Caenorhabditis elegans: one gene and its partner. The protein of the gene in region 2 purifies or fractionates together with the protein of the main gene of each other region. This does not show direct contact. Each region holds a gene or a part of one and is shown on either strand. Other genes may lie near its edges. The genes, in order: sta-2 and mup-4.

Region 1 (3,928 bases), on a different chromosome or scaffold from region 2:
GGCAAAAATCCTTGATTATTTGGTTTCATTCTCATCACCAAGTGTTGTTTTGTTTGCATATTGAATTTTCTCGGTTGAACAACAGAAGGTCCATCAGTATTTTTTTGAGGTGTTTCTATGATTGCTTGAAATTTCATTTCCAGAGCATCAGCCATTTCAGCACAAGATACATGAGTGGGAATATCCGAAAGCGGATGGCGGACCTGGAATTTGATCATTTAATTCTGTTCGAAGATTTTTGAAAAAGCTCACAGTTGATATTTAAAAAATTTTTCGAGTTCCAAATAGTGTGTGTTCTTTTTAAAAAATACCAAAAAAAAACTTACCAAGTCAGCAAAAGATCTTTCGAGGAACAATTTTGCCTCAACATCTGCTTTTGGACCAACAAGAACAGCAAATGGAAGCGAAACCTGAAAAATCTAATTTTAATATACACTCCAACAATTTATAACCTTTTTTCCGACAAGTTCAATTCCACAATTTGTTTGCAATTGAATATTATAGCACAGACAATATCGTTTTGTAGCAACGGAATCTCGACGAAGTGCAACCTTTTTTGCAACTTTCTGAGAAGAAATTGTTTTTATTTCCCATCTTTAAATGAAAAACTCGCCATATCGTCAAATTTCGCTTTTATTCCTCTTGCATCTTTTTTTTGAAACGTGGATGTGTTTGGCTCAATACAGAATTCTTCAGATTCAAAACTAAAAATAAAAAAGAAATTGGCTTCAGATATAATTTACAAAACTCACATATCAAGGTAAGCATTATTTAGTAATTGCTTAGCAGTCTCATCGGTAATCAAGTAACAATTAACATTTGAATTCTCATTGTTTGTATCAATTCCAAAAGCGGATCCACCAAGAATTCTGAATCAAATAATTAATTCAAAATTTAGGTCTATTATGTAATTTCTCCGGTCTTGTTTCTTCAAAAAAATTTCAACATTTTTTTTTGAATAAATCTAACCTTATCTCAGTATTAAACCAGAATCTGCTTCTTCTATGATTCTCTGCTTCACCACATTTAACAATCACTGATGGTGGTTGACGACTGACAATGATTGAGTAGTAAAGGAAATAATGGGTCAAATTGCGAACTTTTGAATGAACCTCTTCAAATCCGACGTTCGGATAGTATTGCTTCAAGTAATCAAGTCCTGAGAGTGTCTGTTGCAAAAGTTCCCCAAAATATTCAAATTGTAAATTGATCAAATCTAATTCTTTGTAATGTAATTGTTGGGTGTGAAGAGTTGCAATACTAAGCTTCTGTTGTTTCATAGCCCATACAAGAAGTACATCGCTCATCAAATGTTGTTTTTCGTCTTCGAAATTCAAGATCACATTTTCACAAATTTGCAGCGTTCGTTGAATGAATGGGAGTTGCTCATTTTGGGCAATTTTCCCCGATAAAAGGGAATCTGCACATTCTTTGAAACCCTGAAACCAGCATCATGAACAGTAAATGCTGTGACTTTTCATCACAATTAATAACTGAGGTTTTACTGAAGTTCCTACCTGATATGCTTCCGCGCTCAAATTATGTTTTGACACGAATGCTCCATCTACAACTGGCTCGGCTGGGGAGAATGCAGAAGAGGACTCAATGTCCATTTGGTCAGATACCACCGACGACATCTAGAACTTGAAGAATGAATTTAAAAATTTAAACCAGAGGAGTAGTGACGAAGTAGTCACATGAATTAAGAAAAGAGTAAAAGTAAAACAAAATAAAACAAGTGACCGATGATGTCAGAGTTTGTATTGTCAATCGATGTTACAACAAAGTGCCGTCGATGTCGTCGGACAGTCGGGTGGGCATCTTGCATTCTCGGTCGAGAAACTCGTTTTGCGCAGTCTGTATGTCTATCTCTCTTCTTATTTGAGATACATTTTCTTTTCATCTGATTCCTAGATGACTCATCGAATAAATTTACAATATTACAAAAAATTAGAAAAAAATGCAGACAAAACATCACTTCATTCGAATTTAAATTGTTAAATGTTTATTAATGAAACGAATTTGACGTTGACTCTTCAAGTAGCGAATGAATTGAGCAATCAGAGTGTATACGTTGTTGAGAATTGCCAGGGAGAGAATTATAATCACACCTGGAACATGTGTAATTTGAAGTCTACTGATGAAACTATTTTCCGCCTGTTATTTTTTTTCTGTTATTTCTGTTATTTTCTGCTTAGATCTAGATTTCGCACTTGTTTGTCAATTCGAAAACCTCTATAAAGTCGGAAAAGGTAACTATTCTCGATAAAAACTTCTACAGGTCGTTATTTGGAAAGTAATATATGTTTAAACTCACAAATTCTTCCAGTATCATCTGGGCGAGCATACATATTCTTCTCAATAATTCTTTTGTAAAAGCATCGTTCTTCCATTACAATTACCACGTATGAAATCAAAAGTCCAAGAAGAACTATGATCAGAACATGGAAAATATTATTTAATGAGCATTTTGGTTTACTCCACTGCTTGATTGGCTTGAACTGAGCACCACTATTCGTGTATTCAGATTTACAAATTTCACAGGTTTTCTTGTTTGACATGTTTACCCATTTCGTGAGACATTCCTCATGCACATCACCCATCTGAATTTGGTAAATTAATTTGAACAATACAATATTTTTCTTGTGTAGTCTTGTGTCAGGATTTTATTCAATGTTCAGAAAAAATATATTTAAGTCAGTTGTTAAATGTGGGGGTTTTGTCTTAATCTGTTCTACGTGGCTATAAGTAAGGATATAAAAAAATACAAGACTTTTCGAAAATTACAAAACAAATTGGATACAAAAACATAAAGCCACGAGATTCTGAGGCCCTTAATGTCCCCTTTTTCGAAACTATCATAAATTTATGAATCACTAAATACTAACCGTTCCAGCACAATCACATGGTCTAACCATATCTCCCTCGTGCATTTGACAGATTCTACAAATTCTACGAGATCCAGAAGTTGTCGATTCAGAGAATGATGCAAGTAGCCATGCCGGTCTCACTGGTTTCTCTGGTGATTGAACCTGTGTGCTTGCCAAAGACAACGAACTGTTACTTGAAATTGCAGCTTCAATGTTACATTTTTCAATTACATAAAGTTTAAAACCCACAGTTGATAGATGTTGTTTCACCCATAACGACAATGAATTGAAATAAAAGATTTCGATTTATTCGATTCGAAAGAAAAGATGAGAAATAATATGAATTTGAAAAGGGAATAAAAAATAAATACCACAGGTAAATGTCAAAACGTAATGAATTTAGCGTGTTCATCGCACGATACGTTCTTCTCGTGATTCGAAAAGTCTGAAAATTATGAATATTTTAAACATATTTTTATTAACCATTTAACGGAAACGAGACTCGTCCCACTTGGACCTCAATTTGCTATTCTTCACTTACTTGTAAATGCAAAGAGCTATTGTGGATCCAAGAAGTGGTCCAGCCCAATATATATAATGATTATTCCAGTAAAAAGATGTTTTTTGAGTTGCAAAAATCGAACCAATAATGCTTGGACCCAGTGATCGAGCTGGGTTCATCGAGGCGCCGGTGATGGATCCACTGAAACATTTAATTTATGAGGCATCGTATATTAGCAATATTTTCAATACTTACGTTGAAAGAATATCAATCGACAGCGTGAGACCAATTGCCAGAGGGGCTAATGTTACCTAAAAATGTAACTTGTACAAATTTATGTTCAGTGAACTCACTGTATCAGTATCAGCTGCAGTGATCAGAATAGTGTGAACCAAGAAGAAAGTAACCACAGTTTCAGCAATTAATCCCTGCCACCATTGACTGCCTGGAGAAAGTAATGTTGCTCCGGCTTCGCAACTTGTTAGCTGTTCTTGGGATAAAACTGCTGCTGTCAGAAATGCTCCACAGATTCCTCCGAGAAGTTGAGATACGACGT
Region 2 (3,928 bases):
TTCATTAGCTTGTTCACATTGACTGAAAACCTTGCAGACTCCGTTCGATTGTTGAACACTTCCACGTCTACACTGGCAAACTTTTTCTCCGGCAGTATTGAATCTGCACTCTTCATTTGGTCCACATCCGGAACCCTCAGAGCACTGTGGTTGACGACTTTGTTGTCCATAGTATTCCGGTGCTTTTGGCTTATTACAAACACGTCCTGGATACTTGTCAACGTTTGGTGAAGCATCGACAAATCCTGGGCGACATTTGCATTCGTACCCATCAGCACGATCAAAACAGTCAGCGTTGTTAGAGCAATCAGCCTCTCCGTTAGTACACTCATTGACCGATTCAACACATTTTCTTCCAGGAAGTTTAGAGATCGAAGTGGAAACATCAGCATATCCCGGTTGGCAAACGCATTGGAAACCTTCTGGAGTATCCACGCAAGCTGCATTTTCATCACAATCAACACCATAAGTCTGTTTAGCTCCGCACTCATTCGTTGTCTTCTGACACTGACGTCCTGGTTTGTTAACCTTATCTGGTGATGTGTCAGCGAATCCAGAATTACAACGACACGTGTATCCTTCTGCGAGATCAACACATTGAGCATCCTTGTGACAAGCGTTTAGTGATGGACGAGCACATTCGTTGACGACGAGGCAGCGACCGTCGGCGAGACGGGATACTCCAACGGGACATTCACATCGGTATTGCCCGTTCACAAATACGCAAACCTAAAGGTTTATCACATATTTCATAGCCAGAAAAAACAACAACAATTTATAAAATTAAGAACTAGAAAATGTATTCCTAGATAATATGCAAAATTTTTCATCGTGGTATCCTCTAAAAATCCGATCTGAACACCTCTATAAAATTCACTTTGAGTTTTCATTTTCAGACTAAACATTTTAAGATGTTGTTGATCTTTGCTATTTTTGTAGAATCTCGTTTTTTGCTTACCTCGCTTTTTGCTTGATTACATGATAGTGGGTCGTTTACTCGGCATTGCAGACTAGCTGAAAAACAGTCGATTAAAGTCCGAATTTGCCAAATTTTTGAATTCCCCATTTCACAACAATCATTAAATTCATTAAATTAAAAAGTGATGAATCATATATTATTTTTCTATTTTTCACTCCCTAAAAACGTCTTGATCTCCTCTCTTCTTCTTCTTCCTTTCTATCAGAATGCCATTTATGTATACGTGTTCACACAAGGTCACATCTGGGTGTGCCAAAACTGCCACGCCCTTAACCATTTTCTCAGGGTCTCCAAACTTTTCAAGCTATTTCCACATGGGAGCGCGTGGGATGAGACTGCGAAGAGGACTGGTAATGATAATGAAAATGCCAAAGAAAGGGAAGCTAACGGTTTAGAGATATGGGAATGAGAGAGAAAAAGAAGGGAAGGGCAAATGAAATATTACACTAACATCGATCCCAACCAATCAGAAATTGAAATAACAAAACAAAGTGACACATTTGGTTTTGCCAAAGTTTGATTAGATACTAATGAGGGCAAAAGTAATGGGAACTAACGAGGTTACTGTAATTTAATGGGGTCAATCTATAAATGTAAAGATATTTTTCAAGTTCAGGTTTTCACTAGGCTCAAAAGGAAAAAGTGAAGTGAGACCAAGCACAAAATACCTGCCTGTCTGCAAAAATGGTAACGGGACGCGATAGGTAGGCGCGTAGGCAGGCAAGAGCCACCATAGAAGCGGTTCAAACTGATAATTTTTTCAACATTATGCATTTAACAAAATAATTCAATAAGTAGAAAGTTGCACCCGCTTTAAAAACTTACAATAGGTCTGCCGATGTTGATAGGTTGTTGCCGCCGAGGCGATCAACGGCAGGAGCACTAACGGCACCCACCTCATCGAGATCGTGACCCTTAAAATAATTAAATTCGAGGCTAAATAAGAATTGAAAATTAGAAAAGGGAAAATCAAGAAAACTTTGATTTCGTCGAATCTTTTTTCTGATCATTGGCAATCAACAAAATACAAAGAGATGTGAGAGAGAGAGAGAGAGAGAGAGCAACAGATTTTACAAAAAAAAGAAGAAAAGTTGAAGAAGACGTGAAACAAACATATATCTGGAAGGTGTGGCTGGCAATGAGAGAAAACGAGGGCCCCAAGAAGAAACCAATAGGCATTTGGATGGAAGAAATAGTATACAAGATGAAGAGACGCAGAGGAGAAGATATGCGAACCTGACCGATAGGAGTGTCTTTCTCCTCAACAGTCTTTGATTGTGATAGGCTGGTTTTGAGAAAATGAAATGGCAGGGGATAGAAACAATAAGTGAAGAAATGCGGAAAAGAAATATGACAAATCGAGAAAAAGCCGGGGAGAACATTTTCATGCATGAATAATTATCAATAATAGGCTTAGACTTTCGATAAAGCTTGAACATGAACGTCAGACTGTAAGTTGCAGAATTTCTTCAAATATCGATTTTTTAAATATATTTGGAACTATAACTTTGGATTTGGAATCATTCACTGCTATGAAATGCTCTGCTGCTCCATTGGAGTTTAGTAAGATTGAGTTACCGTATTTTTTATTAGACTTGTGGCGCTCAACTACAGAAGTATAGCTCAACATTTGACACTTGTTTTTAATTTTTTTTTCCGAGATAAAATCATTCAGTGGAGCTAGGGGATGCAAGTCTAATAGGAAAAGTATATTTAAAAAAAGGCTCTGTATAGACCTTGTCATTCATCTGCTCATGGTCCAGAAAGAGTTCCAGTGTAGGCGAAAAGACCATAAAGCTCTCAAAGTTAGATCTAAAGCTGGAAGGAAAGGAAACTGCAATTTTAAGCTCTACTTTATAGTATTTCAGTCAGCAAAAAACAACAGTAAGGTCATATGCATATACGTAGTTCAAATAGAATAAGCTCAAGATATCCTTAAACTTACGCTATCAGCCACGCTACCGTATCCCTTATCAGAGTCACTTCCTTAACCTCATCCAGTACCTTTCACTTTGTCATCATCAAGCTAACAAGCTGTAGAAGTGTCCCATCATATCAAGTCTTATCACTAGAGGGAGGAGGAAAAGGGAATGGATTGCGTAACACTGACATGAACACCGGTTAACCAGATACAGAAAGAAGGAAATTCAACGACGCCAACTTCGAACGAAAAGAAGAAAAGAGGGAAAAAAGAAGACGTGAAATCGAAAGGCAACAACATAATCGGCCGGTTGATTGGCTAAACGGAATGAATGGTGTCCGACGGGGGGAGAAGGTGGGGGATCTTTCAAGTTTGCGCCCCCCGTACGCGTGGCAATGCCAGAAGCATTATGAAAGAATGGAATACACCAGAAGGTGTCTCTGTGTTTCTCTCTATGTTTAATTGCGTGTACATCTGGACGCTGTCCGAGGTATTGTGAATACCCTTCGATGCCATGGGAAAGGTAAAGGCGTGGCACGGAGATGGGTGTGTATACGCAACTTTGATTGATTATAGAAGGAAATTGAGATATTGCAGAAATTGATGGTAAGGGTGGAGAAAGAGAGGAAGTTTACACAAGTTCAGAAGTGTGATCGTCGATGTTCTAGGTGGATGTTAGAAGATCCTGTGAGATCTAGAAATTAACAGCTATATCTCATGATCCATTTGAATAAAAGCTCACTGAAATATAACTGTTCCTAGAACATACAAAGCGTGTGAACCTTTTTTTATTTCTAGGGAATTTGCAAGCATATCAAATTCTTGATTAAAGTTACTTTAATATATTTCTTGCTTAAAATGTTCATACCTAAAAACATTATCTTATTACCTGCTCCCAGAAAATTTCAATTTTAACTCTAAATCACCGCATTGCCCTTTCATGAGCAAACTAGGGATGTGCGGCGAATTTCGAAATTGGCCGAGCTCGGCAAATTCGGCAAGTCCACATTTTTCAAATTTGCCGTGGC

Evidence for each region.
Region 1: the proteins of mup-4 (region 2) and sta-2 purify together in Caenorhabditis elegans (affinity purification with western blotting, with the first as the bait; one study listed by BioGRID). This does not show direct contact.

What each region holds. Positions count from the first base shown.
Region 1 is NC_003283.11:9,738,932-9,742,859, reverse strand, and holds the start of sta-2 (Signal transducer and activator of transcription b), read right to left. Parts: upstream 1,655-3,928; 5' UTR 1,638-1,654; coding exon 1,518-1,637; intron 1,440-1,517; coding exon 970-1,439; intron 870-969; coding exon 753-869; intron 705-752; coding exon 614-704; intron 567-613; coding exon 453-566; intron 411-452; coding exon 327-410; intron 204-326; coding exon 1-203. Other genes in the region: marc-1 (RING-CH-type domain-containing protein), read right to left, coding at 1,990-2,111, 2,318-2,603, 2,889-3,076, 3,120-3,144; aqp-4 (Aquaporin), read right to left, coding at 3,279-3,315, 3,412-3,573, 3,628-3,683, 3,726-3,928. UniProt on the Caenorhabditis elegans protein: Carries out a dual function: signal transduction and activation of transcription. Required, in concert with transcription factor elt-3, for up-regulation of the vacuolar H(+)-ATPase and acceleration of lysosome maturation at molt.
Region 2 is NC_003281.10:7,487,183-7,491,110, forward strand, and holds the start of mup-4 (Transmembrane matrix receptor MUP-4), read right to left. Parts: upstream 1,924-3,928; 5' UTR 1,881-1,923; coding exon 1,805-1,880; intron 1,015-1,804; coding exon 959-1,014; intron 730-958; coding exon 1-729. UniProt on the Caenorhabditis elegans protein: Required for junctional attachments between hypodermis and muscle, and between the apical epithelial surface and the cuticular matrix.